4 linked regions of the Anolis sagrei genome follow. The protein of the gene in region 3 purifies or fractionates together with the protein of the main gene of each other region. This does not show direct contact. Links are inferred from orthologs where the notes say so. Each region holds a gene or a part of one and is shown on either strand. Other genes may lie near its edges.

Region 1 (7,698 bases), on a different chromosome or scaffold from region 3:
GAGGACAACTACAACCTTCTGGTGACAATCAGAAATGGAAAGGAAGAAGGAACGGGTGTAGAACACAGAAGTCTACAAGCAAAGAGAACTGGACATACAGGCTGGGAATTATGGTTAATATTCCTTCCATTTGATGCTTGGGGAGACTAGTTGTTGCTCTTGGATCCTTTATCAAGCATACCTTCCCCTTCTGGCGACTTTCAGACATGTCAGAAAACAGCTCCCCCATTTTCTTAACAATTATCCACCAACTAGGAAAGCTGAAGGAAAGAGCAGCATGGAGGTCAAATCTCACAAGAGGACCCCCAGGCCCCCTTTCATCCCTAAGTCCCCTTCACTCCATCATCAGACCCCCCTCCCAAAAGCAGACAATTGTACTTACAGAATACTGTTGAGTTGCTGGAAGTGCTCCACAGCTGTTACGCACCAGCAGCGCTCCCTCTGACACCCGCACCCGGCGCACTGGCTTCCTTTTCTGGCAGGCTCTCCCAAGATCTCCTCCTCCTCCTCACTTTCTGCCTGGTGGTCCTCACTCATGCCGCTCTCCCCCTCGGACATCCTGGGCTCCCGACTCCTCTTCCGCCACATGTAAATCTTGAAGCTGCGGCCATAGAACTGCCGAACCATCTCCCCGAAGCTATGAGGGGTGCTGAAGAAGAGGACGGCCCGAAGCAGGCTGTGTACCTTGGCCCTGAGCGGCTGGGCGCCCGTCCCGAGGAGCAAGCCCTCCTGTGTCCAGCCCTCCATCATGGTCAGGCTGCGCAGGTAGGGTTCCAGCCGGCGCCAGAGGAGGGAAAAAGCATCCAGGATCAGGAGGGAGCACTGAGCCTCTTCGGCCGTGTTCTCGTGCTGGGACACGCCGCTCCAAAACTCGGGGGAGATGCGCGCCTGCAGATCCATCTGCAGTACCTCCAGGAACCACTCCTCCAGCGCTGAATGCAGGCCATGGGCCTTCAGCACCTCTACCGCTGCGTGAAGGTCCCGCTCCGATGGGATGTCTGCCGGCTCCGACTCTGGCACCAGCGCCTGGGAAACCACAAGAGGCAGACTTAATGGAGAAAGCTTTGAAGACTGAGCCAGAGGTGCAAGGCATGAGGCGTCCCTTGCTATCTCTTTTAGCCATTCTATGTTGTTGTAGGTTTTAAAGGGTCATTTGTATTGTTTATAGCCTTTTGAGTCACTTTGAGGCCCCTTTCATTCATACAGCCAAATGAAATCCCACATTATCTGTTTTGAACTGGGATATATGTCAGTGTGGATTCTGATGTTTCAGCTCAAATCAGATATGTCATCAGTTGGGAACCCCTCCCCCAGCACTAACTGCTGCTCTGGACCAGAGTGAAGAGAGATGGGACCAGGGGACAGTTCCATCTTGTCTCCTGCATATGTCATCAGTTGGGGATCCCCCCCCCCCCCCCGCAACAACTGCTGCTCTGGGCCATAGTGAAGGGGGGGGGGCATGGGACAGTTCCATCTTGTCTCCTGTGCTATGCTAATAATATAAAATAGTATAATATAATATAATATATTGTATATACATATAATATTTATAATATTATAATGTAATGCAATATAATACTACCACTAATAATAATATAATATTATAAATATAAATATATATTTATATTATATGTAATATTACTAATAATATTACAATATAATGGTATAGTACAATAAAGTAATATTTAATACTGATATTATACTATGCTAATAATATAATATATTGTATGTAACTTGTAAGTCGCTCTGAGTCCCCTTCGGGATGAGAAGGACAGCATTAAAATGCCATAAATAAATAAATAAATAAATAAATATTCTGCCTTGATATTCTGGATTATATGACTGTGTGGAAAGGCCCTGAGTCTTGTTAAGAGAAGAAAGCGGGACGTATAACATTATTAACAACTACAACAATAACAACAGCACATGCCCCGTCAGAGACAGAAAGTTCACAAAGGAGTGGGAAGAAGAAAGGACAGCTACAGCCCATGTTGGTGCAGCAGATGGGCTGCACTGCTGAACTTGCTGACCGAAAAGTGGTTCGAATAGCGAGGTGAGCTCCGCTGTTAGCTCTAGCTTCTGCTAACCTAGCAGTTAGAAAATATGCAAATGTGAGTAGATCAATAGGTACCGCTTCAGCAGTCATGCTGACCACACGATCTGGGAGGCATCTACAGACAACGCCAGTTCTTTGGTTTAGAAACTGAGATGAGCACCACTCCCCAGAATCGGACATGACTAGACTTAACGCCAAGGGGAAACGTTTACCTTTACTTTATACATACATATAGACAAACAAACACACATATATGTCTTGTTATACATACACACACCCATATATATCAGTGGTTCCCAACCTTTTCTTGACCAGAGACTACTTTGGCCAGGTAGCACTCTCCAACATTAGTACCAAAAGGGTTACGAATCAGTTTTTGGTCAATTTTAGATTCAGTTTGGTTATCTGGGGTGCTGAATCAGAAAATTGTATTGGATAGACCACATCAGCTCTAGTTTCTGATACAGAACATACGGCATCCAGTAGTCGCCATCTGCTCGCTCACATATTTAAACCATATTTAACTAGCCTCGGAACTATTAGAGGGTTTTGCGAGACCAGTTGCTCCCGTTGCAACAGTGTAGTAATGGTGAGGCTGTGGACCATATTTTAGGTCTTGCGGACCACTAGTGGTCCACGGACCACAGGTTGGGAACCACTGCTATACATGACCCATGAGATGTCTTCCAACTCTATGATTCTATATAATAATAAATACAATATAATGTATTATATACCACACAATAAAACATAACATAATATATTCCATACTATAGAACAGGCATGGGCAAACTTGAGCCCATGCCTGCCCGACCCTTCACGTGTCACCTGAGGCCAGTTCACACGTGACCCCCGCTCCCCCCGTGGCTGCTCGTACCAGGCCCAGGGCGGCGGGCGGGACCAGGCCCGTGCTGAGGGCGCGCCAGGCGGCGGGAAAGGCCATCCCGGCGGAGGCGGAGGAGGCGGGCTCCGTTCTGAGGCGGCGGCCGTTGAGCGGAGAAGAGGAGGCGGAGCTCTCCGCGGCGGGAGGGAGGAAGGAAGGAAGGCGAGCCCGCGGAGACGGAGGATGACCCAGCAAGGGGCCGCCCTGCAGAGCTACAACAACGAGCTGGTCAAATGTGCGTCGCTCAGGCTTCGGCCGGAAGTGTAGGCCTCGCGTTGCTATGGAGACGCGGCCTACTGTGGCCGGCGTCGCAGAGAGACCTTTGGGGCCTTTTCGGGTCGGGGCTCGGAGTCAGAAAGCGGGGACACGTGGGGAGAAAAGGGAAGGAGAGGGGTTTGGGGTGCCTCCGCACTATTAAGGGGTGAAAACGCTTCAACTGTGGCGTCCCTTCTCCCGCGTGGGCTCCTGGGAAATGTAGTTTGGGGCCTAGAACAGCGCGAACACTTTGTTTATCCAGTGACGTCATGACCCCGCCTTCCTTTCGCCTCCAATAGAAATTCGAGGCGGGTGGCACAACACAGGGCAAAGGCAGATAGATAGATTTCATTAGATAGATAAATTAAATTGATTGATAGATGGATTAGATAAATAGAGTGATAGAGTAGATTAGATAGATAGATTAGAGAAACAGATTAGATAAATTAGACAGATTTGATTGATTGATTGATTGATTGATTGATCGATCGATCCATGGATTAGATAGATAAAATGATAGGTAGATTGATAGATTGATCAGATAGATAGATAGACAGAGAGATAGATAGATTAGAGAGATAGATTACATAAATTAGACAGATTAGTTTAATCAATAGATGGATTAAATAGATAGAATGATAGGTAGGTAGATAGATTAGTTTGATAGATTGGATAGATAGATCAAAGAGACAGATTAGATAAATTAGACAGATTAGATTGATTGATAGATGGATTAGATAGAATGATCAATAGATTAGATTGATAGATCAGTTAGAGAGATTTTTTAGATACATTAGACAAATTAGATTGATTGATGGATTAGGTAGATAGATTAGATTGATAAAACTAGATAGCTAGATCAGATAGACAGATTAGATAAATTAGACAGATTAGTGTCATTGATAGATGGATTAGATAGATAGAATGATAGGTAGGTAGGTAGATAGATTAGATTGGATAGATAGATCAGATAGACCAGAAAGATAGAGAGATAGATTAGATAAATTAGATGGATAGATAGATTAGATTGATAGATTAGATAGCTAGATCAGATAGATAGACAGATTAATTAGACAGATTAGTGTCATTGATTGATGTAGATAGATAGAATGATAGGTAGGTAGGTAGATTAGATTGATAGATTGGATAGATAGATCAGATAGACCAGAAAGATAGAGCGATAGATAAATTAGATGGATAGATAGAATAATAGATAGATTAGATTGATTGATAGATAGATTAGATAGATCAGATAGATTAGAGAGATAGATTAGATAAATTAGACAGATTGGTTGATTGATTGATTAGTTGGATTGATAGATGGATTAGCTAGAGGAGATGATTAGATAGATGAGATTGATTTATTAGATAGATGAATTGATAGATACATAGATGATAGGTTGATTGATTAGATATATAATAACAACAATAATAATCTTTATTTATATCCCACCCCATCTCCCCAAAAGAATTCGGGTTATCTTACAGCATAAATAAATACAATAAGTAATATATACAAAATAAATAACAAATCAGCGAAAAAGGGAAAACAAAAAAAATAGACAAATTAAACAATAAACCGTAAAAAAATAAATTAAAACACAGTGGTTCCAATAAGTTAAATACAAGCCAAAATATCCTAATCAGCATATATCCATAACACTAAAACAAAGACCTCGTCCACTTTATTTATTTTTTACGACATTTATATGCCGCCCTTCTCACCCAGAAGGGGACTCAGAGCGGCTTACAAGATATATATACATACAATATATTATATTATTAGCATAGTACAATATCAGTATTATATATTACTATATTGTACTATACCATTATATTGCAATATTATTATTAATATTACATGTAATATAAAACATATAATTTTAATATTGTATTATTAGTAGTAGTATTATATTGTATTACATTGTAATATTATAAATATATGTATATACTATTATATTATATTATACCTATTATTAGTATAGCCTGGAGACAAGGTGGAACTGCCTTCCTGCCCCCCCCCCTTCCACTGGCCCAGAGCAGCAGTTAATTAAAAGGTATTAACCTAATCATTTTCAAAGTCCTTCTTTCAAAGTCCTCCGAACATATTCCCCCCTACGAACCATCAAGATTACTAAGATCGTCTGGAGGGGCCCTGCTCTCGGCCCCACCGGCCTCACAAGCACGGCTGGTGGGAACGAGGGCCTTCTCGGTAGTGGCCCCGCGACTCTGGAACTCTCTCCCGCCAGAGGTTAGAACCGCCCCAACAATCCTGACATTCAGGAAACAGGCGAAGTCGTGGTTATGGAGACAGGCTTTCGAAGAATGAGACAATGATCTGGATGGAAGACGGTGTATATTCGATTTTAGTATGACGACTGACCACTGTAGTTTTAAATATATGTGCTTTTTAAATGTTTTATTGTAATGTGTATTTTGATATTTTACCGATTGTATGTGTTTTTATGGTTGGAAACCGGGCTGAGTCCCTCTTATGAGGTGAGAAGCTCGGTATATAAAACTTTGAAATAAATAAATAATAAATAATTCTTAAAAGTCGTGAGAGTGGCTGCTTGTCTGATCTCCTTGGGGAGAGCACTCCAGAGCCGGAGCGGGGCTCTGTTGAGAGGGCCTTTTCCCTCGTTCCCACCAACCTCACTTGCGACGGGGATGGGATCGAGAGGAGGCCCCCCTCCAGCTTATCTTAAAGCCCAAACGGGTTCATAAAGGGGGATGCGGACATGTAAATAGGGACAACTCAAACCGAAAATTGAGAAACAATTACACGCAAAATATGAAAATTAGAGGAACCAAAGGGTGGGGGGACAGCTTGGAAAGGCACTTCCATGCAGTGTGGACACAACCTTCTTTTGAAGCATCACCTACGGCAGCAGGAAGGATTCACTGTCGGTTTCCCATCCAAGTCCAACCAGGGTGGACCCTGCTTAGCTCCCAAGAGCAATGGGATCTGGTGCCTTTGGGTGTATTTCAGGGCCTTGGCCTTCTCCAAGTGGCCCCTGATTGAGACAAAGGGGCTGGAGTCCCTTAAATGGGCCCATTGGCCATAGTTTGGAGACCCCTGACCTATGCTTTTGCCCTTTCCTTCCATCCTTCTAGGCATCGAGGACCTGTGCCTGAAGCGGGAGGAGCTGTCCAAGCAGATACGTCAGGAGGAGGAGGAGAAGGGCAGGCTCCAGGGCGAGATCCGCACCCTGACCGAGCGCCTGGCCCGCGTCAACGAGAACCTGGCCCGCAAGATGGCCTCCCGCAACGAGTTCGATAAGACCATCGCCGAGACTGAAGCCGCCTACATGAAGGTGCGGGGAATGAGGGGGATGGGGGCTTCTGCTAGGGATCTACACTGCTATATAATCCAGTTTCTGAATTCAGATTATCTAGTTTGAGCTGGGTTATATGAGGCTGTACTGTTGGAAATAGCAACCTATCAATCATCTATCTATCTATCTATCTATCTGATATATCTTATCTATCTAATAAATCAATCTTATCTATCTAATTATCAATCTATCTAATCCATCTATCAATCTATCTAATCCATCTATCAATCTATCTAATCCATCTATCAATCAAATTGTCTAATTTATCTAATCAATCTGATCAATCTATCTGATCTATCTATCTATCTTATCTATCATTCTATCCATCTATCAATCAATCTAATATGTCTAATTTATTAATTTATGTATGTAATTGCTTATTGCATTGTGTATTGGTTTGCAGTTTTCTTTAACTCTTTGTTGTGGGAGGGGCTGCAGACTAAGACTCCATTTTAGATGTTTGTCTAGCCGTAGCCCAAAAAAACAGACATAAAAATGCAATCCTTTCCTGCTTCCCAGATCCTGGAAAGTTCCCAGACGTTGCTCAGTGTCCTGCGGAAGGAGGCAGGGAACCTCAGCCGTGCCACGGGAGCCACGGAATCCAAACCCCCCGCAGCGAAGGACAACTGAAGGGTTGGTCTCCAATCCCTCTGACTCTGGGCTCTTCTCGGGGAGGTGTTTCATAGGCAAAGTAATGTATAATAAAGAGGATTTTGTTTTCCGAAGGCTCCCGTACTTTGTTGGACCACCAAAGTTTATTTTCTGTCCCAGCTGGAAAGGATGATGACTGCAGTAACCTGCCAAGGAGCCGACATGACTCCTGGGCAGGCAAACACAGAATATATAGAGCTTTAAACAATGAAAGGATAATATTATTACGAATGGATCCCATAGAGCCACCCCATTGTCAAAAAGTTTGGTGATATTGGCTTATATGATAAGATCTTGGATCCTTTTCTGGGACGGGGAATGGCTTTGTGGGGAGAAGCGGCGACATCCCCTTCCCCTCTCAGTTTCTCCACCATAGACATCCCAGTGTCTCTCTCCATTGGTGTGGAATTTGCATGACCCAGCCAACTGCCTCTTCTGTAACCCTTTTCTATTCTTTTCTATGGCACACAAAAGACAGAGGAATTGATCAGCAACTGAACATACTAGAGAGGTTT
Region 2 (7,473 bases), on a different chromosome or scaffold from region 3:
GGGCATCCAGACAACGTGGCCGGTCCAGTGGAGTTGATGGTGGAGGACCATCGCTTCAATGCAGGTGGTCTTTGCTTCTTCCAGCATGCTGACATTTGTCCACTTATCTTCACAAGAGATTTGCAGGATTTTTCAGTGGCAACGCTGATGGAATCATTCTAGGAGGTGCATGTGATGTCTGTAGACAGTCCATGTCTCACAGGCGTATAGCAGGGTTGGGAGGACAATAGCTTTATAAACAAAGTGCTCTTCCAGCAGTCACCGGCCAATCCCTCTCCAATGCCAGAAATACAGCTTAATGGTGTAACATTAGAGTTGACCATTTCTGCTACTTGGCAGCCACCTCTCCACAAAAGTCAACACTGACACCGAAATACAACACCGCCTGAGCTCTGTGAGTGCAGCATTTTTCCAAATGAAGCAGAGAGTGTTTGAGAACCGGGACATCCGTAGGGATACCAAGGTGCTAAAGGTCTTAAGCCTTCCCTATCAAGCTACCTCTGCCATGGTCTCATAGCATTGAGGCCCTTCCCACACAGCTGAGTAATACCTCACATTATCTGAGTGTGGGCTCAGATAACCCAGTTCAGAACAGATATTGTTGGATTTTCTGCCAGATATTCTGGGTTACATGGCTGTGTGGAAGGGAACAGTTAAAACTCGTGCGCCAACTGCGCCCGTACCTTGGGAAGTCTGACTTGGCCACGGTAGTCCATGCTCTGGTTACATCCCGTTTAGACTACTGCAACGCTCTCTATGTGGGGTTGCCTTTGAAGACGGCCCGGAAGCTCCAGTTAGTCCAACGCTCGGCAGCCATGATACTAACTGGAGCGGAGCGCAGGGAGCATACAACTCCTCTGCTGCACCAGCTCCACTGGCTGCCGATTTGCTACCGGGCTCAATTCAAAGTGCTGCCGTTGGCCTTTAAAGCCCTAAACGGTTCTGGCCCAACTTACCTATCCGAACGTATCTCGGCCTATCAGCCCACCAGGACCCTAAGATCTTCTGGGGGGGGGGCTGCTCTCTATCCCGCCTGCTTCACAGGTGCGGCTGGCGGGGACGAGGGACAGGGCCTTTTCTGTGGTGGCCCCGCGGCTATGGAACGCCCTCCCCATGGAGGTAAGATCAGCCCCCTCATTGATGGTTTTCCGGAAAAGACTAAAAACCTGGATGTTCGAGCAGACGTTCGGTTAACTCAGTGCAATAAGTGTAATTGATTGAAGGACTGGCAATTTGGACGACGAAACTGGATCGCGATTTTAGTCAAGAGATGAATTGGATTGTTTATTGATATATGTACTGTGGATTGTGTTTTTATGTTTTTAAACTGTATACTGTTGTTTGTTATAAGTTGTTGTAAACCGCGTTGAGTCGCCGGCTAGGCTGAGAAACGGCGGTATACAAATATAGCAAATAAATAAATAAATAAACTGAGTCAGGGCAGTTAAAGTGGTGTTAAAATGCATTCATTCTACAGTGTAGATGCTATGACTCTGGAGAAGAGGGTTCAAATCCCCACACAATAGGTGACTCACACTCTCTCAGCCTCTACGGATTATTTATTTATTTACTCTACTTATATACCGCTGTTCTCAGCCCGAAGGCGACTCACAGCGGTTCACAACAAACAAGAACAGCAGAAATTCAATGCTCCAATATAAAAACAATTAACAACCTAACACATTACACACTTAGAAAACAATTACTACAATAACCATTCACTAGCGTCTCATCACTAAAGGACAGGATCCAGAATCGTCATCCATTGTTCCATTCCTATGTCATTACAGTTCATTGCACTAATTCTTCGAACGCCTACTCAAACAACCAGGTCTTCACTTTTTTGCGGAAAACTATTAGAGATGGTGCTAGTCTAATGTCTGTGGGAAGGGTGTTCCACAGCCGAGGAGCCACCACCGAGAAGGCCCTATCTCTCGTCCCCGCCAGCCGTGCTTGTGAAGCAGGCGGGATCGAGAGCAGGGCCTCCCCGGAAGATCTCAAAGTCCTGGTGGGTTCATAGGCCGAGATGCGGTCGGATAGGTAACTTGGGCCGGAACCGTTTAAGGCTTTATAGGCCAACGCCAGCACCTTGAATTGAGCCCGGTAGCAGATCGGTAGCCAGTGGAGCTGGTACAACAGGGGGGTTGTGTGCTCCCTGTGTTCCGCTCCTGTTAAAATCATGGCTGCCACACGTTGGACTAGTTGAAGCTTCCGAGCCGTCTTCAAGGGCAACCCCATGTAGAGAGTGTTGCAGTAGTCTAGACGGGATGTAACCAGAGCGTGGGCTACCGTGGCCAAGTCAGACTTCCCAAGGTACAGGCGCAGCTGGCACACAAGTTTTAACTGTGCAAATGTTCCCCTGGTCACCGCCGAAGCTTGGGGTTCCAGGCTCAGCGATGAGTCCAGGATCACACCCAAGCTGCGAACCTGTGTCTTCAGGGGGAGTGCGACCCCATCCAACACAGGCCATAACCCTATGCCCTGTTCAGCCTTGCGACTGACCAGGAGTACCTCTATCTTGTCTGGATTCAATTTCAATTTGTTCGCCCTCATCCAGACCGTTACAGCGGCCAGACACCGGTTCAGGACCTCGACAGCCTCCTTAGTAGCAGGTGGGAAGGAGTTACAAAGTTGGACATCATCTGCGTACAGATGACACCGTACCCCGAAACTACGGATGATCTCTCCCAGCGGCTTCATGTAGATGTTAAACAGCATGGGAGACAGTATTGAACCCTGTGGAACCCCACAAGACAACGGTTGTGGGGTTGACCAGGTGTCTCCCAATAACACCTTCTGGGATCGGCCCTCTAGGAATGACCGGAGTCACTGTAACACAGTACCTCCAAGTTCCATCCCCGCGAGGCGTTCCAGAAGGATACCGTGGTTGACGGTATCGAAGGCCGCTGAGAGGTCCAGCAGCACCAACAGGGACACACTCCCCCTGTCGAGCTCCCGGCGTAGATCATCCACTAAAGCGACCAAAACTGTCTCAGTTCCATGTCCCGGTCTGAAACCAGACTGTGCCGAATCCAGATAATCTGTGTCTACCAAGAATACCTGGAGTTGTGAGGCCACCACGCATTCCAGGACTTTGCCCAAAAAGGGGAGATTGGACACTGGCTGAAAGTTGTCAAATTTAGGGGGGGTCCAGTGATGGTTTTTTCAACAGCGGTTTTATTATAGCTTGTTTTAAGCTCGCTGGAATATTGCCTTCCCGAAGGGAGGCATTAACCACCACCTCAACCCACTCAGCCAATCCCCCTCTGGCCTCCTTTAGAAGCCAGGATGGGCAGGGGTCCAGGATGGACGTGGTAGGCCTCATTCTTCCAAGTATCTTGTCCACATCCTCGGGTTTCACCAATTGAAAAGAATTACTGTTATGCCTTCTGGCCCTAAGGATATAGGCCAGTGTTTCTCAACCTGGGGGTTGGGACCCCGGAGGGGTCGCAAGGGGGTGTCAGAGGAGTCGCCAAAGACCATAGGAAAACACAGTATTTTCTCTTGGTCATGGGGGTTCTGTGTGGGAAGTTTGGCTCAATTTTATCATTGGTGGGATTCAAGGGGCTTTTTGATTGTAGGTGAACTATAAATCCCAGAAACTATAACTCCCAAAGATCAAGGTATAATTTCCGCAAACTCCACCAGTGTTCACATTTGGGCATATTGAGTATTAGTGCCAAGTTTGGTCCAGATCCATCATTATTTGAATCCACAGTACTCTCTGGATGTAGGTGAACTACAACTCCCAAAACTCAAGATCAATATCCACCAAACCTTCCAATATTTTCTGTTGGTCATGGGAGTTCTGTGTGTCAAGTCTGGTTCAATTCCATCATTGGTGGAGTTCAGAATGCTCTTTGACTGTAGATGAACTATAAATCCCAGCAACTACATCTCCCAAATGACAAAATCAACCCCCCCCCCCCCCAACCCCACTGGTATTCAAATTTGGGCGTATTGGGTATTTGTGCCTAATTTAGCCTAGTGTATAAAATACATCCTGCATATCAGATATTTACATTATGATTCATAACAGTAGGCAAATTCCAGTTATGAAGTAGCAACGGGAAAAAAGTGTTTGGGGTTCACCACAACATGAGGAACTGTATGAAGGGGTCACGGCATTAGGAAGGTTGAGAAACACTGAGAGAGGCTTTTCTCCGAAAAAGGACACAAGCAGCCTTCCGTGCCTCGCCGCGCATGCTCAACACCTCCCTCGCTCGTCTCTCGCTTCCATAGTCACGACTCGGGAAAGGTGTCTACAGCAGTGCCTGGTTTTGTTTTATTTTAAAAATCACCCCTTTGCAAAGGACTTTTTAATTTTTTTAAAAAAGGAGGAAAGTTATAGTTAGCTGAAGTAGGAGAGTAACCCCGCAATGCGTAGAATGGAAGTTCCCCCTGAGGCTGACAGGCGAACGCCGGGGGCAGCCTTTCCTCGGTGAGGGTTGTTGTGGAAGTGTCAGGGCGGCTTTTTCGGCGAGGACCCTTCGGGGAGGCGCCATTTTAGACTTGCTGAGAGGACTCTGTCCGTTACGGCCGACTTGAAGTACGCTGTTTTTTCGTTCCCGTCCCTCTGTCGAGTCTTTCCGAGGCCATGAGCGTGGTGGACCATGTTCGGGAGATGGCAGCGGCGGGGCTGCACTCCAACGTGAGGCTCCTGAGCGGCCTCCTCCTTACGATGAGCGGCAACAACCCGTGAGTGAGGCGCTGGAGGCCGACACGGGAGGCTTGGTGGCCTCCGACCCGCTTTCAACCCAAAGGAGAGTTGGTGGAGAAGCCTTGCAGGCACACTGAGGACCCTTCCACACAGCTGAATCAAATCCCACATTTGAACTGGAATATATGGCTGTGTAGACTCAGATAACCCAGTTCAAAGCAGATATTGTGGGATTTTCTGCCTTGAGATTCTGAGTTACATGGCTGTGTGGAAGGGCCCTGAGTTATATGGCTGTGTGGAAGGGCCTTCCAGGCAGGCCCATTATCCCAGGATCTAATCCCAGGTTTTCTGTTTATAATAATAATAAATAATAATAAACTTTATTTGTACCCTGCCACCAACCTGTGTTGGACGGGGTTACACTCCCCCTGAAGCCACAGGTCCGCAGTTTGGGAGTCCTCTTGGATTCATCGCTAATGCTTGAGGCTCAGGTGTCGGCGGTGTCCGGGAGGGCTTTCGCACAATTGAGACTCGTGCGCCAACTGCGACCGTACCTTGCGAAGGCTGATCTGGCCGGGGTGGTCCATGCCTTGGTCACCTCCAGATTGGACTACTGCAATGCGCTCTATGTGGGGCTGCCCTTGAAAACAGCTCGGAAGTTCCAACTGGTCCAACGGGCAGCAGCCAAGATGTTAACTGGCGCTCCTTACAGAGAGAGGTCAACCCTCCTGTTCAAGGAGCTCCACTGGCTGCCGTTTATTTTCTGAGCCCAATTTAAGGTGCAGGTGCTTACCTACAAAGCCCTGAACGGTTTGGGACCATCCTACCTGCGTGACCACATCTCCGTCTACGAACCCACGCGTTCACTGTGGTCATCTGGAGAGGCCCTGCTCGTGATTCCGCCTGCGTCGCAAGCACGTTTGGTGGGGACATGAGACAGGGCCTTTTCTGTGGTGGCCCCCCGACTCTGGAACACCCTCCCCAAAGATCTTAGACAGGCCCCTACATTGGCAGTCTTCAGAAAGAACTTGAAGACCTGGCTGTTCTGATGTGCCTTCCCAGATTAGGAAATCTCCAATACCAAGTCCCATAAGCACTTTATTAGAACCAAGATTGTTGCACATCGCACTCTGCACTTGCCCTATAAGCCTTATATACCACCTGTCACATCAGCACTTTCAATCTTGTACCCATTACTCTGGCCCGGCCCAGTTCTATTGTGTCTTAATATATTGTTGATTGCTTATTGTTTATATTGCCTTAATTGTTTTTAATTTGCCTTAGGTTTTGTATTGTTATATTGTGTGTTGAGGCCTTGGCCTTTGTAAGCCGCATCGAGTCCTTCGGGAGATGCTAGCGGGGTACAAATAAAGTTTAATAATAATAATAATAATAATAATCTCCCCAATGGGGACTCGAAGCGGCTTACATGAGGCCAAACCCGAACAACAAATTACAATAAAATAAAACGCAAATGGTAAAAGCAACATTGTAATAAAATAAAACATGTAAATACGTAACAATAATAATATAAAGTTACAATAGACGCAATCACAATGACAGTGGGCGGGCTGCATGTAATGATTAAAAGAGACTAATTAAAACTAATTTAAAACTCTGGTGAGATAAAAAGAGACAGATTATTTGTGGAGGAGAACTCATTATAGCAGAGTTGTGGAATCAAGCTTTCCCACAGAGGGGGGACGACATATACTCCAATGACATTTATCATTTATTCCAGATTATCTGGCAGTGCGGACTCATATAATCCAGTTCAAAGCAGAAAACCTGGGATCAGATCCTGGGATAAAGGGCCTGTCTGAGGGTCCTTCCACATAGCCCTATATCCCAGAATAACAAGGCAGAAATCCCATAATATCTGCTTTGAACTGGGTTATCTGAGTCCACACTCAGATAATGTGGGATTTCCTGCCTTGATATTTTGGGATATAGGTCTGTGTGGAAGGGCCCCAGAATATCAAGGCAGAAAATCCCACAATATCTTCTTTGAACTCTAATATCTGAGTCCACACTGCTATATATTCCAGTTCAAAGCAGATAACTTGGGATTTTATTCACATCTGTGGAAGGGGCCTCATAGAATCCAGTGCAAAGCGGATGTGAATCATCAGCTTCAATAATCTGGATTATATGGAAGTGTAGAAGGTGCCTCAAAGTGGTTTGCATTAAACACATTTCAACAATAATAATAAATAAATAAATAAACAAACATTATTTTTAGACCGCCCTATCTCCCCCGGGGAACTCGGGGCAGTTTACACATACAAAGGGAAACATTCAATGCCCGACATATACCAAAATATTACAGCAATAAAACATAATACAGAATAACAACAACATTATACTAATCAAATAAAATTAAATATCAAGATATCAACATAGAACAACTAATCACTAAACAAATACATTTAAAAGCATGATCAACAGTAAAACATCTAACGTAGTCAGCGCCGTTAAAAATTGGGTAAGCATTGGCTGTTAGTTGTTCTTAACTGTACCATAATGGCCATGAAGTACAGATTGGACAGCCTGCAATAGAATTTCAAAGCAGCAAATATACAGACATTACAACAGAATTCAATGTCATGGGTATTTTTAAATGCAGTGAAAATCCATAAAATATGATAGCGGCAAATAGAAGCAGTGTGATATCTTACCAATAACTGCTTTGGTTTTCTTTAAAAAATATGGGTATTTTAGGCCTCTTCTACACTTCCATATAATCCAGATAATCAAAGCAGGAAATCCACATGATCTGCTTTGAACTGGATTCTGTGAGTGTACACTGTCAT
Region 3 (7,766 bases):
CCTGGTGCCTTACCTAACTACAACTCCAAGGGTTCAAAAGGTTTGAGATATAATAGTTAATGTGGGGATAGACTGTGTCTGCAGTGTAGATGCAGCCCTGGCTTCTAGGGTCAGGCTAAAGCAAAACGTGTTTTAAGAACAAGTCAGAGAATCATGTATGGTGATTAAATTATGTTATATGCTTCTGAGCTCCTGCCCTATTCAGGTTTGTAGGTTTGGTTGAGACCCTACAGAGTTTGATGGAAATCTATCTGTGTTTTCGGCAGGGTGGTTGGAGAAGGTAGATATTGCCCAGTGTTGGAGCCAAGCTCATTCCTCCCAATACTTCTCTGGGTCACAATGTGATTTTTAGCTTTGAATATGTTTTAATTGATTTTGACTGAATTTTTAATACTGTTATGCTCAATTCTGTTTTAATGTTTGTATCGTTGAAATTTTGTGGTCATACTTTTAATTGTAAGCCGCTTTGAGTCTCCTTCAGGAGAGATAAAAGCAGGGTATAAATAAACATAAACATAATTATAAATGTGATATTTAACTGACTTGCATGTTTAATTCCATTTTCCCATTTTTGTAGGTTTGAAATTGTATTTGTTTCTAAGTTGGGGACCACTTTGGGTCTCGATCATGAGAAAAGTGGGGTAGAAACAAATAGAGTAAATTGCAATAACAACAACGTTCACATCAGGATAATGGCTTAAAACTACAGGAAAGGAGATTCCATCTGAACATTAGGAAGAACTTCCTGACTGTGAGAGCCGTTCAGCAGTGGAACTCTCTGCCCTGGAGTGTGGTGGAGGCTCCTTCTTTGGAGGCTTTTAAACAGAGGCTGGATGGCCATCTGCTGGGAGTGCTTTGAATGCAATTTTCCTGCTTCTTGGTAGGGGGGTCAGGCTGGATGGCCTATGAGGTCTTTTCCAACTCTATGATTCTATGAGGAGATAATGGTTCTGGAATGTGGCCATACAGCTCAGAAAACTCACAGCAACCCAGCATTCATTATGATTGTTATCCCACTTTTTCTCTCTTAAAAGGAACTCAAAAGCAACTATGGTGTTGTTGTTTTTTTAAAAAAAGAAACGAACAATTTAAAACTGAAAACATATAAATATTACAATTAAATACAGAGTAGTATTAAAACTAAAGTTAAATTAACTAAAATAATTAAAAGCCTATATGCATCAGCACACTTGTGCCAGTCTTAAAAATAGGTTTTTAAATGCTAGTGTGTTACTGTTTATTGTTTATGTGATTTAAATTAATTGTGTTGTATTGATTGTTTTTGTTATTGATGTACTATGGGCTTGGCCTCATGTAAGCCGCACCGGGTCCCTTGGGGAGATGATAGCAGGGTATAAATAAAGTTTTATTATTATTATTACTCAGTAGTAGTAGCAGTAATACTGTAAGACCAATAGAGTCCAACACTCAAAACATTACCTTACTGCCTCTCACCAAACACAAATAAGTTACTTTAGGAATACTACACAATCAAGCTGGAATTTGACAAGCTGGGATGTGTCCAGAGGAGGGTGACTAAAATGATCAAGGGTCTGGAGAACAAGCCCTATGAGGAGCGGCTTAAGGAGCTGGGCATGTTTAGCCTGAAGAAGAGAAGGCTGAGAGGAGATATGATAGTCATGTATAAATATGTGAGAGGAAGCCATAGGGAGGAGGGAGCAAGCTTGTTTTCTGCTTCCTTGGAGACTAGGACGCAGAACAATGGCTTCAAACTACAAGAGAGGAGATTCCATCTGAACATGAGGAAGAACTTCCTGACTGTGAGAGCCGTTCAGCAGTGGAACTCTCTGCCCCGGAGTGTGGTGGAGGCTGTTTTTAAATGCTGTATGTTATTGTTTATGGCTTGTTGTGTATTTTGTTTTTGAGTCTTTATTTTAACTGTTTTTGTATTGATTATTTGTTATTGCTTTTGTTTATTGATGTGCTGTGGGCTTGGCCTCATGTAAGTCCCTTGGGGAGATGGTAGCAGGGTACAAATAAAGTTTTATTATATTATATTTTTAATTTTAATTATTACATTTGACCCGGCCATAGGTTTTTAAATGCTGTATGTTATTGTTTATGGCTTGTTGTGTATTTTGTTTTTGAGTCTTTATTTTAACTGTTTTTGTATTGATTATTTGTTATTGCTTTTGTTTATTGATGTGCTGTGGGCTTGGCCTCATGTAAGTCCCTTGGGGAGATACAGCTGGGTACAAATAATAATAATAATTATTATTATTATTATGGGTTTTTTTACTACCAAGGATGGGAAAACATGGGCTTTCCTGCTATAATTCTCAATGCATTATTTCATGGCGACTGTGTTTTCCTGGCTAGATTTGCTCAAACCTTTGCCTTGGTAGCGAGGTACAAATAAAGTTTTATATTATTATTATTATTATGGGTTTTTTTTACTACCAAGGATGGGAAACATGGGCTTTCCTGCTATAATTCTCAATGCATGTTTTCATGGCGACTGTGTTTTCCTGGCTAGATTTGCTCAAACTTTTGCCTTATTATTATTATTATTATTGGTTTTTTTGCTACCAAGGATGGGAAACATGGGCTTTCCTGCTTTAATTCTCAATGCACGTTTTCATGGCGACTGTGTTTTCCTGGCTATGTTTGCTCAAAGAGGGTTGACCTTTGCCTTGTTCCTCTGAGGCTGAGAGAGTGTGACCCAAAGCTTTCCCAGGCCTCCAGACCCGCCGCCTAACGTTCAAACCACGGCCACGAGGCTAACCAGGCCAAAGCCTCACGTGCTCCAGGCCCGAAGCTAAATGAAGGCCGGAGGCACTCTGTACAGGCTCAGAAACCTCCAGGGGTGGTTGCCCCTCCGCTCACCTTGCCGTCCGCTTTCCTCCGAACCTTCTGGCACCTGCCGTAGGACCCGGCGCCGATGGTGAGGAGCACGTCGTAGTCCTCGGGGCGGCTCGGCATCTTCCTTCGAGAGAAGCCAACCACTCAATAAACACGCAGCTTCAATTCCCCCTCGGAGGATGTTTAAAACACGCCGCGCCTGCCGTTGATTGGCCGGCTGGCCGCCGCGGCCCCGCCCATGCCTAACCGCCTGCCTTCCCATTGGTCCGCGAGGCGTCCAACACCGCCACGCGCCGCGTAACGGCTGTTTCGGCCCGGTTACTAAGCAACCGCAGCCAGTGGCGCTCGAGAGCGGCGCGAGAAAAAAAAGCCTTTTGAGCTTTTGGAGCCGCCGTCGTCGCGACCACGGGTTGCCATTCAAAGAACAAGACAGAGAGGCTCGGCGAAGGTCACTTCCGCTTCCGTGTTTATGGGTTCAACTATACCAGGTATGGCCAGAGTTGGGGCCCTCCAAGTGTTTTGGACTCTAGGGCAGGCTTGGGCCTTCCAGGTGTTTTGGACTTCAACTCCCACCATTCCTAACAGCCTCAGACCCCTTCCTTTTTCCCCTCAGTCGCTTAAGGAAAAGGAAGGGGTCTGAGGCTGTTAGGAATGGTGGGAGTTGAAGTCCAAAACACCTGGAAGGCCCCAAGTTGGCCCAGGCCTGCTCAAGATAATAATATGGCTTTTTTTCTGAGGGAACGGATGGCCCCTTGTGGTCTCCTCCAATACTATGATTCTGCCATTTTCTCCTGGACATCCTGTTGGTAACAAGGAATAAAATCAACCCCTTTGTGTTAGGAGAAGTTGGGAAGTGCTCGAGTTTAAGCCAAAGCAGCCTTGCAGTGTGGGCCACCATCAGCATAGACGCAGTCTGGGATAGTGAGAATAATAATCTAATAATAATAACTTTATTTTTATACCCCGCCAACCATCTCCTCGTGGGGACTCGGGGCGGCTTACAAGGGACAAGCCCAACAATTACAAACAAAACACAATTAAAAGTATCAGATAAAATATAAAAGCAATCACAATTGTAAACAACATCAAAATAATATGGCTGAGAAAGAACATAGCTAGAACATATTTATTTATTATTTACGACATTTATATGCCATCCTTCCCACCCTGAAGGGGACCCAGAGCGGCTTACAAGATATTATTAGCATCGTACAATATGAGTATTAAACATTACTATATTGTACAATACCAGTATATTGTAATATTATTAGTAATATTACATGTAATATAAATATATAATTATAATATATTATTAGTAATATTATATTACATTACATTATAAATATTATATGTATATACAACATATTATATTATTAGAATAGCACAGGAGACAAGGTGGCACTGTCCCTGGCCCCCTCTCTCTTCACTCTGGCCCAGAGCAGCAGTTGATGCTGGGGGGAGGGGTCCCCAGCTGATGACATATGCAGGAGACAAGACTGAACTGTCCCCTGGCCCCCTCTCTCTTCATAGAATATAGCTGCGGTTCAGGCTCCATGAGTGGAGTACAAACTTGAAGGGAGCGCAAGGAAAGTGCAGCAATCAAGTAGATAGGGCTGGGAATGGTGTCATCAAAAGTGTTGAGGTAGGGCGCTAAAAGGGTCGGCGTAAAGTGCTGAATTTAAGGTAGGGACAGGGGAAATTACTGGTGGACTGCCTAATCAAAAGCACATTGGAACAGCTGGATGGGCTCTTAATTCGAACCAGTCCACTGTCTACATGGCCATGCACTGCTGTCCCCTATTACCTGTACTGCATGGCACATGGAAATACAGAGGGATTGAGGCTGTGTTGTCCTGTCACCTCATTAGTTGACCGTGGAGCTCTGGAGAGCTCTGGACATCACCAGGCACCTTAGCTGACACCATCACAAGCACTAATGCAACCCGGGAAAAGGAAGCAGTTCTGTCTCCTCTTTGTTTGTGTGGCATCGATGCTGCAGACTGCCAGCTGGTTGCTGCAGACTGCCAGCTGAACAGTGTGAAGTGGCATCCAAAAAAAACCCAAACCTAACAATCCTAGGCTGCATCAATAGCATAGTGTCTAGGTTGAGGGAAGTCCTAGTCCCACTCTATTCTGCTTTGGTCAAACCTCACCCAGAATAACCCCGTGTCCAGTTCTGGGCAGTACAATTCAAGAAGGATATGGACAAGCTGGGAAGTGTTCAGAGGAGGATGACCAAAACAAAGATTTGGAAGCCAAGCCCCACGAGGAGCAGCTTTTATTTATTTTGTATCAAAAGCATTGCACAAATTAGTATAAAGCTGATAAAATAGAAGGGCTAAATATCTTATGTCCAAAAACAAGCAACAGCAACCGCATTGTCTGTAGCCTCCAACAATTCTTCCTCTGTACATGAAGCAGGGCATAGTGGACAAGCATACAAATGCAGAGTTGTCTGTTCTACTCCACAGCCACATAAGGTGGACATTTTCTTTTAGATAGTACCATTTTGTTTTCTTTTAGATAGTGCCATTTTGCCAGGCTGTCTTTTGATTGAGCAGCTTAGGGAGCTGTACATGTTTACCTTGGAGATGAGAAGGTTGAGAGGGGACATGATAACCGTGGTTAAATATCTGAAAACAACATTTGTTTTCTGCTGCTCTGGAGACTAGGACACGGAACAATGGATTCAAACTACTGAAAAAAGATTCCATGTAAACATTAGGAAGAACATTCAGAGAGTAAGAGCTGTTTGACAGTGGAATATGCTGCTGCTCCAGAGTGTAGTGGAGTCTCATTCTCTGGAGGTTTTTAAGCCAAGGCTGGATGGCCATCTTTTTTTTTTTTTTTGGGGGGGGGGGTATGACTGAATGTTTCTGCAAGCCATGGGGTTGTATTGGATGAACCTTAAAGTCTCTTCCAACTCTGCGATTCTAGGGACAACAGTACAGGTAAGGATGGCTGTCTAGCGGCGTCGAATCAGGATCAGTTCAACTGGACAGGCTAAACTTAGTAGCTGCTGCAACTCCTGGATGGAGTATATAAACAGCTCCACTGAATCCGGGACCATTCTTCACCCAGTTCTCAATTGGAAGGGGAAAAAAGGACATTTATAATCCCATTGCAACCCCAAAACTCTCGAGATTCACCTTAAAATGCAGTTTTGAGATGCACCTCAAAACTGCAATGCCAAACTGGTGCTGTATTACAGTAACTGTGTAGAAGAGTCCTTAGTTGGCATTAAAGTTCCTTTTTAACAAAAACCAACATACATAACATTTAACATGGAGAAGGTTCTGTGCCTCCCTCGGATATTGAGCTACAGTTTCTCACCCTACTTCACCATTGGTTGTGCTGGGAAGGATTTTTGGAAGTGGCAATAATGCCTTTTGGGGGTATGCAAAATATCCAACTATTTGACAAGACCAGTTACTTGTCATGGAATGAGGCAACAAATGTATCAAGTCACATGAGGGAAAAGTGCAGTTTGTGTTCACAGCAGCACCTCCAACATCTTGAATGGCATATGAAAAGATTTAAATTCAACTAACTGTAGATAAAGTTATTTGTGAATTGAGATGTAAATGTCTAATTAGGTACTGTATTAAAGTTATTCAAATAAAGCTTTAGCTAGTCTGATAGGCAGTAATGCAAATATTCCACTAGATGGCACTTTGTCATCACTTTCAAAAAGCAGGGAGGAAAGGACAATTTTGTGGCACCTTTAAGATTGTGACCAGCTTTTTAAAGCTTTGTCAGGTGAATTATGTCATACTCTGTTGGCTTTGTGTGTGTGTGTGCGTGCATACATACACATGCATACATATGGCTACCAAAATAAAACATTTGACTGAAATGGACAAAATAAAAGACTGAAAGATGGTCTACCGCATTTTGATAGAAAACTCACTTGTATAAAAGAATATAGGGACTCATTCATAACAGCAGACAATAGTCAGTCATTCTATACTCAGCTTATTTAACATCTTAAGTGCTATTAGCATAACATTGCTGGAAAAGCAGTATAATAGCTCATTATTATTCTGAATGTTTATCTTGTTCATATTGTGTATACATTTGGCTATGAACAGAAAAACCAGCAACTTATTAAAACCTCTTTTGTTACCATTACCTTTTTTGTTCCCATGTATATTGCTGTAACAGATATTACATCTGCCATAGAGGGAGGACAAACCTGTGAAGGCTTATGACAGCATTATGGTGTCTGATTATGTTTATTAAGAAGGATATCCAATTGAATTCTGAGGGTTTTGTAAGGAAGTGTTAATCCCACTGAATGCCACCAAAAATATGCGAAGAAGTATTAATGCCACTAATAACTGTAAGCAAGTTCCGAGACTGCTAAATTAAACTGCCACGTATAGAGACGCTGGTATTAAAGTCTCTGTTTAGGTTGTGAGGTAACTTTGGTAGAGTGGAATGCACCGAACGTAAAATCAATGGAGATGAGGCAGTTTTGAAATAACAAAGAGAACAAGTTTATTGTTAAACAAAGCGTATTGTTGCGATATTAAGATGTTGAGCTTGGCATATGCTTGATGGTTACAATATGGCTTGGTTGAGATACAAATCAGGCTTTTGATGTTACAATCTTATAAACTCCTTCTACAGTGAAGCGCTTTATTATTTCAGTGTTCCCTGTTGTGAATATTCTCACTGTTTGTCCTATACCGGATCAAACCACTGATCTCCAGTCTTCCACTACTGGCGATCCTAAAACCCCCTCTGTTAGATTCTTTTTAACTCAAGCAATCTAACGATGTTTCACCTTCAGCTCCTTTGCTGAAGAAATATTCACAAACACTAAAAACTAACTGAGTCTATACTGCTTCACTCCACAGAGCCCCTAACTGACTCTGCTCCTCTTCTCAGGGTCTCTTCCTCCTGACTCAACTACTTTCTCAGAGTCCCTTCCTGACTCT
Region 4 (7,532 bases), about 8.1 Mb from region 3:
AAGGGAATTTCCCACAATCTGTAATGGACTTCTAAGGAAGGCTACGCTGGCTTTTCCTTGGTTTCCCTTTGCAGACAGATTAATTGTTTTTATTTATTTACTGTAAGGTTTTAACCAAGTTTACTTGGGAGCTGCCTTGGGAGCCATGCCAGAAGAAAAGAGACATATAAGTAATAAATATATAATGATGGAAGACAAGGCTTCAAGTGTTGCTCATCTACAGCTTTATTCCAGGTAAAATACATGTTTTTCACATTTCACTGAGTTTTCATTAAGCAAAGGGATCCACATGCGTGGCATATTTATGAGTTAGTATTTAGGTTAACAGATCATTATGTTTCCCTGCCTTTTCCTTTGCAGCTTTGTATTGCTTTCCTCTGTTCTTTGCTTATCTTTTTTTTTTTTTTTTTTGGTGTAAGTTATACATTTGTATTTTCAAAAGTGCCACTTCCTACCTTGTGTTTCTCATGGATTGTAACTTCCTGAAGCGACCCCACCAAACCAGCTGCTCCATCTGACGACCAAATTTCCGAGGCTGGCTGCAGCTGCCGAAGTTGCAGGTTCAACGCATTAGGATGGTGCTTGCAGTGGTCACGGCCAAAAGGGACAAACTCCTGCAAATCCCCTGCTGCAATCATCATTACCCTCTCTTCATAGATGTTCGACATGAGTTCCAAATATCAACATTATTTCTGAAAAAAGACCAAAATGCAGACAGAAGGTGTTCAACAGTGAAACCATTTTCAGAATGGCAGCATGACCTAAATACCCTATGACACCAGATCCTATCTGAACTTGGAAGGTAAGTAATGTCAGTTCTGATTATTATTTGGAAAACCACTGGCTGTATGTAGGCTATATTTCAGAGGAAAGAAGTACAAATCTACCACCAAGTTTCCCAAGCAATGAAATTCATAAGGTCACCATAACTTGACAGTTGACATATAAATGCAGTCATATTAAGTTATTGTACCACCTAAGAGACAAATAAATTTTACAAATTGTATGCATTTGCTGACTATGCCCACTTTCTTCTACTGCATCTAAAGAAGCAGGCTGCAATCTATGAAAACTTACATCAGATAAAAGTTGCTAATGTTTAAGTTGCCACAATACTTTTGCTCAACATATACACTATGTAATACAAATTTTGTTCCTAGGTTATAATTGTCATTTCCTAATTGGTTCTATCATTAAAAGATGGAAAACAGTTATCAAACTGCAAAAACTTTGTTTTTGCGGGATATCCTGCAACACATTTTGCTCTAGTTTTTCAATGAATATTTTATATCAACCAATTCAACATAGTTTGTGGCAATCACAGAAACAAAGTTTCTGAAGTAGAATAACTACTTTCAAAGTAAGTATTGCACAATTAAACAGGAAATAACACTTTCAAACCAGGAAGATTTTTTTTTCAAATTTTGTTACATAGTATTATCTTCAATTCTGGAGCCCCTGGTGACGCAGTGGGTTAAAACCTTGTGTCGGCAGGACTGAAGACCGACAGGTCGCAGGTTCGAATCCGGGGAGAGGCGGATGAGCTCCCTCTATCAGCTCCACCTCCTCATGCGGGGACATGAGAGAAGCCTCCCACAAGGATGATAAAAACATTAAAATCATCTGGGCGTCCCCTGGGCAACGTCCTTGCAGACGGCCAATTCTCTCACACCAGAAACGACTTGCAGTTTCTTAAGTCGCTCCTGACACAACCAAAAAAATCTTCAATTCTACTACTCCCTTTTCTTTCAGTGCTCTAAAATTAAGGCACCCAGACCACTCAATAGGTGTAAAATGGATTCAGCTAAGATCTGCTACAACCAAACCAAAGGAGTTACACAACAAACAGCCAAGCATAGTGCTTAAGGTGAATGAAGTAATGTTAGAGTTATTTACTGTTAAATAATAAACAACGGCTTACAAAGATGGTAAATGGAATAGAAATGTTTCCTCTTCCCCTTTCTGGCGAACTACCTTGCCACGACTCTGACACAGCTCCGCTGTGCTGTCTTGCACACGTGTTCCCCTCATTAATTCAGACCAGTGTTGTGCAACCAGCGTAGGATCCCAGCTACCATACTTTTGCCAGGGCTTGTTCTCCAGACCCTTGATCATTTTAGACACATTCCAGTGTCAACATCTCCCTCCAATTGTGATGCCCGGAATTGGACACAGTATTCCAGGTGTGGTATAACCAAGGCAAAACAGAGAGGTAGCATGACTTCGCTGGATCTAGGCACTAGATTCCTATTTATGCAGGTCAAAATCCCATTGACTTTTTTTGCTGCTGCATGGCATTGTTGGCTCATGTTGAACTTGCTGTCCACGAGGACTCCAAGATCTTTCTCACACGTACAGTGTTCTCTCGCTACTTCGCGCTTTTAGCAGACTCGCTGTTTCGCGGTTTTCAAAAATTATTAATTTAAAATATATATTGCTGTATTTTTGGTGTTTTGCTTTCGCTCCTCAGTCCTCCCTCCAGCCTTGAAGGGCCTTTTCTTCCTTTCCTTCACTTTAAGTTTATAAAGACTTAGAATAGTGTATAACTACTAAAATAATGTATAAATATTAAATTAAATAGATAGAGCATCCCTACATCGCAGTTTTTCAATTATTGCGGGAGGTCCTGGAACCTAACCCCAGCAATAAGCCAGGCATCCCCCATTCTGGGATGCTGGGATTTGTAGTAGCCAAAGAGTGTGGGTGCCCCACCAAGCTACAAATCCCAGGGTTCAAGTTGTCTCAAGCTGCATTAACTCTTCGACTGAATGAAGGGGAGAGAAGGCGGGAAGCATGGCTGCTGCTGAAAGGGCCCAGGACGAGGGCAACGGAGGCTCGCCCACCTGAGTGACACAGGAAAGGGCGGCGGGCGGCGGGCCTGGGCTCCAGCGGCTCCTCCCCCGTCTCTCCCCGGACAGCAACAACAAGCGAAGTCCTCTCGGCGGCACTACACTCTCCCCTCAGCTTCTCACACGGGCGCCGCCATCTTGCAACTCCCATCACCACCCGCGACAAGGCCGGAGGCGGGGCTAACGGATGTCAGTAAAACGGCGCCTTTGAGGCTTCCCAAGTCAGGCAGGAAGGATGGAGGGAAGCAGAAGAGGGAGACCTCCGTTCTACTGTTCCCATGGCAACAGGCGGCTGGCCTAGGCCCAGCTGCTGTTACTATAGCAACCAGGATACCCTTGTATTCCTTGGCCTTGCTTCTCATTGGGATGCTTGATTTATTTATCCTTGGTGAAAACCTTTTATGGCCCCATCTACACTGCCATATAATCCACTTTTCTGAATCCAGATTGTCTGCTTTGACAATCTGGATCTGCTGTGTTGAGGTTTCAGGCAAGGAAGGGGCAAATACTGGCTAGGCCAGGCCTGGGCAAACTTGGGCCCTCCAGTTGTTTTTATTTATTTATTTATTTTGGTTACTTCTACCCCGCCCTTCTCAACCCAGAGGCGGCTTACAAAGGCACGATTCGATGCCGGCATCAACATAACAGTAGAATAAAAACAATATAGCAGCAATTAAACAATTCACAATCAGTTTCTGCACTGCAACAATAAAACCAATAAAATCGATTTCACCTAATTAACACTCAGCCTTCGCCATCTCATAGTCCAAATACCAATTCCACTTTGTCAGTCCTGCCAGTCCTAGTCGTCTAATTGTCTTTATCTAGTTGTCAGATTGCCCGAAGGCCTGGTCCCACAACCATGTTTTTAATTTCCTCCTGAAGGAGAGGAGGGAGTGAGTTCCATAGGTGGGGGGGCACCACTGAGAAGGCCCTGCTCCTCGTCCCCCACCACCGTCACTTGTGATAGCGGTGGGGTCGAGAGCAGGGCCTCCCCAGATGATCTCAAACTCCGAGGTGGGACGTAGAGGGAGATGCGTTAGGACAGATAACGCTGGACCGGAACCGTGTAGGGTTTTGTAGATCAAAACCACCACCTTGAATTGGACACCAACTCCCACCATTCCTAACAGCCTCATACAGGCATGTAGCCGGGGGGGGGGGGCTTGGGGGGCTTCAGCCCCCCCCCCCCCCAATTTTCATGGTGGTCTGCAAAAAGGCCTTACTGGTACATTATTTAAACTGTTATGTTTATTCATATCATGATCTGATCACCATGCTCAATATATCTCATATGCATGGGGGTATTGGGGTAACAATACAAAAGGTTTGCTAGAGTAGACCCTCTTTCACTCAGACTCAGACTCCTTTCTTGTAGTTTGAAGCCATTTCCCCCCTCAAGCAGCTGAGTGGGAAAAGGAAAGGGCCTGAGGTTGTTAGGAATGGTGGGAGTTGGAAACAAAACATCTGAAAGGCCAAAGTTTGCCCAGACCTGGCCTAACCTAATATTTGGTAGATTCCGAGCACAATATTTGCTAGCTTCCGAGCACAATTCAAAGTGTTGGCTTTGGCCTATAAAGCCCTGAACATATCTCCCACTAAGATCCACCTACGACCCTAAGATCATCCGGGGAGACCCTTCTCATTGTCCCCCCATCATCACAATTGCGTTTGGTGGGGACAAGGGACAGGGCCTTTTCTGTGGTGGCCCCTTGGCTGTGGAACTCCCTTCCAAGCAAAATTAGATCAGCTCCATCCCTCCTGACCTTTCAGAAACAAGTGACATCCTGGCTATAGGATCAGGCCTTTGCAGATTAGGTTGACCGGCTGGCAAAGTGATGGCTTTAATGGACTTAATGGACTGCTTTTAGGGCAATGACTTAAATCGGCGACTGACTGTTTGAATGTTTTTATACTGTTTTTATATTGGTTTTATTTAAATTGTATATTTTTGCTTTTGGTTTTGGTTGTGGACACCATGGTGTGTTGGTTGTTAGCCGCCCTGAGTCCCTCTGCGGAGGTCGAGATACAACGGGATAGAAATGTCCTAAATAAATACAACAAAGATCCGCCTAATTGGCAACAAAGATCCGCCTAGTCAAAGCCATGGTATTCCCTGTAGTCACCTACGGATGTGAGAGCTGGACCTTAGGGAAGACTGAGCGAAGGAAGATCGATGCTTTTGAGCTGTGGTGTTGGAGGAAAGTGCTGAGAGTGCCTTGGACTGCGAGAAGATCCAACCAGTCCATCCTCCAGGAAATAAAGCCCGACTGCTCACTGGAGGGAAAGATACTAGAGACAAAGTTGAAGTACTTTGGCCACATCATGAGGAGACAGGAAAGCCTAGAGAAGACAATTATGCTGGGGAAAGTGGAAGGCAAAAGGAAGAGGGGCCGACCAAGGGCAAGATGGATGGATGGCATCCTTGAAGTGACTGGACTGACCTTGAGGGAGCTGGGGGTGGTAACGGCCGACAGGGAGCTCTGGCGTAGGCTGGTCCATGCGGTCACGAAGAGTCGGAGACGACTGAACGAATGAACAACAACAACAAATAAATAAATCCATTTGAATCTAACACAACTAACTGGACATGCTGCATAAAGTCTACCATATCACCCGGAACTATGGTTTTATAAAAACTATGCAGACCCTCCTAGAAAACTGCAGCTTCTATATGGAGTTTCAGGGCAGGAAAAGTAGGTGGAAGAGGCAAAAAGAAAAAAAAGGTTTACCTCGAGGCAGCCTTCTTGCACCAGCCTTGTTTAACATCTTTACTAAGGATCAGCCACAACCACCACTCACAAAGAGCTTTATAAACGCTGATGACCTTGGCCTAACAACATAAGCAAAAGTCAACAAGCAATTTACTAATCCCCTGAAAGATCTCTCCAGCTACTACAAAGATAACAGAGCTCCCCATGGCGCAATGGGTTAAACTCTTGTGACGGCAGGACTGAAAACCAACAGGTCGAAGGTTCAAATCTAGGGAAAGCATTTATTTATTTATTTATTTCTGGTACTTTTACCCCGCCCTTCTCAACCCCCGGAGGGGGACTCAGGGCGGCTTACAAAGAAGGCAGAATTCGATGCCTTTATACACTACACATAGTATACAAAAATATACAAAAATAAATATACAGAAATATAATTAAAACGATCATCACAGTTAAAACATCAGCAACCGGTGCCCAACATATTATATAAAATATCATATAAAAACATTCTTATAATCAGCGTTTCGTTTCCAGAGTTCCTCGTGTCCAGTCCATTAGTCATTTCCTAGCCATCCATAAAGTTCTCTCTCTATCTGCCCGCCTGACCAAATGCCTGGTCCCAGATCCATGTTTTTAGTTTTTTCCTAAAAGAAAGGAGCGATGTTGCAGATCTAATTTCCCCGGGGAGTGAGTTCCACAGGTGGGGGGCCACCACCGAAAAGGCCCTGCTTCTCGTCCCCGCCAATCTCACCTGTGATAGAGGCGGGGTCGAGAGCAGGACCTCTCCAGAAGATCTTAGACTCCGGGGTGGGACATAGAGGGAGATCCGTTCGGACAGATACACTGGGCCAGAAGCATGGATGAGCTCCCTCTGTCAGCTCCAGCTCCCCATACAGGGACATGAGAGAAGCCTCCGACAAGGATGGTAAAACATCAAAACATCCAGGCGTCCCCTGGGCAACATCCTTGCAGATGGCCAATTCTCTCACACCAGAAGCAACTTGCAGTTTCTCAAGTCGCTCTTGACATGAAAAAAAAACAAAAACAAAAACAAAGATAACCACCTGAAGCCTAACTCTGCCAAGATACAAGTGTGTGCTTTCCACCTAGATAACCATGAAGCCAATAGAAAATTGAAAATTACCTGGGAAGGCCAAGGGCTTGAACACTGTTCTCACCCTAAATATCTCAACATGCACTATGGTATGACTGCCTAATTAGTCACACATGCGACAACTTGTGGCCAACGACTGTATTACAGTGAAAAGAATCCTTATTTTCAGTAGTGCATGCTGAATTAAATGATGTGCCAATAATACATGACTCCTGAAAAGCTTTCTAAAACGTTTAAAGAGGTTTCCGACACTTGCTGGAAATGTAAACAACAAGTGGGGTCTTTCTACCATATGTGGTGGACATGTAAATTGCCAAGAAATACTGGATTCAGTCCATAAGTTGATCCAGAAATTTTTTGGGAAAAATATCCAGGTAAAACCAGATACTTCTTTACTTGGATTGAATGATACAAATTACTATAGTAGATTGTTTCAATATATGATCACAGCAGCCAGATTACTATATGGGCAGAAATGGAAGAACTCAGCACCAACAATAGAAGACTAGATGATAAAAATTATGGACTTGGTGAGGTAGATAAATTAAGCTGCTTATTAAAAAACAAGGAACATTGGAAAAAATGTTGCATGACTGGGAACCTTTTATTGAATTTTGGCATGAAGATGGAAAGGATTGTAAGATTTGAAAACCAAATTGAAAAGGATTTTTGCCCAAGAAAAAATAATACTAAGAAACTTGGAGAGTTATGGGTTGTTGTGTGTTTTCTGGGCTGTATGGCCATGTTTCAGAAGCATTCTCTCCTGACATTTTGCCTGCATCTGTGGCAGGCATCCTCAGAGGTTGTGAGGTTTATCGTCTGGTCTTCTGATCTCTGCTGCTGAATTCTTCCATT

The links.
Region 1: the proteins of NEK2 (region 3) and ANAPC2 purify together in Homo sapiens (affinity purification with mass spectrometry; 4 studies listed by BioGRID and IntAct, with this or other methods). This does not show direct contact. The link is inferred for Anolis sagrei from reciprocal best matches to the Homo sapiens genes NEK2 and ANAPC2.
Region 2: the proteins of NEK2 (region 3) and ANAPC7 purify together in Homo sapiens (affinity purification with mass spectrometry; 3 studies listed by BioGRID and IntAct, with this or other methods). This does not show direct contact. The link is inferred for Anolis sagrei from reciprocal best matches to the Homo sapiens genes NEK2 and ANAPC7.
Region 4: the proteins of NEK2 (region 3) and ANAPC1 purify together in Homo sapiens (affinity purification with mass spectrometry; 3 studies listed by BioGRID and IntAct, with this or other methods). This does not show direct contact. The link is inferred for Anolis sagrei from reciprocal best matches to the Homo sapiens genes NEK2 and ANAPC1.

Annotation. Positions count from the first base shown.
Region 1 is NC_090031.1:15,871,963-15,879,660, forward strand, and holds the start of ANAPC2 (anaphase-promoting complex subunit 2), read right to left. Parts: upstream 3,018-7,698; 5' UTR 3,000-3,017; coding exon 2,934-2,999; intron 1,027-2,933; coding exon 383-1,026; intron 1-382. Other genes in the region: microtubule nucleation factor SSNA1, read left to right, coding at 3,123-3,174, 6,312-6,511, 7,052-7,162. UniProt on the Homo sapiens protein: Together with the RING-H2 protein ANAPC11, constitutes the catalytic component of the anaphase promoting complex/cyclosome (APC/C), a cell cycle-regulated E3 ubiquitin ligase that controls progression through mitosis and the G1 phase of the cell cycle.
Region 2 is NC_090034.1:42,384,393-42,391,865, forward strand, and holds the start of ANAPC7 (anaphase-promoting complex subunit 7), read left to right. Parts: upstream 1-4,468; 5' UTR 4,469-4,597; coding exon 4,598-4,698; intron 4,699-7,473. UniProt on the Homo sapiens protein: Component of the anaphase promoting complex/cyclosome (APC/C), a cell cycle-regulated E3 ubiquitin ligase that controls progression through mitosis and the G1 phase of the cell cycle.
Region 3 is NC_090021.1:32,210,764-32,218,529, forward strand, and holds the start of NEK2 (serine/threonine-protein kinase Nek2), read right to left. Parts: upstream 3,017-7,766; 5' UTR 2,944-3,016; coding exon 2,848-2,943; intron 1-2,847. UniProt on the Homo sapiens protein: Protein kinase which is involved in the control of centrosome separation and bipolar spindle formation in mitotic cells and chromatin condensation in meiotic cells.
Region 4 is NC_090021.1:24,115,021-24,122,552, forward strand, and holds the start of ANAPC1 (anaphase-promoting complex subunit 1), read right to left. Parts: upstream 3,016-7,532; 5' UTR 2,844-3,015; intron 693-2,843; 5' UTR 669-692; coding exon 456-668; intron 1-455. UniProt on the Homo sapiens protein: Component of the anaphase promoting complex/cyclosome (APC/C), a cell cycle-regulated E3 ubiquitin ligase that controls progression through mitosis and the G1 phase of the cell cycle.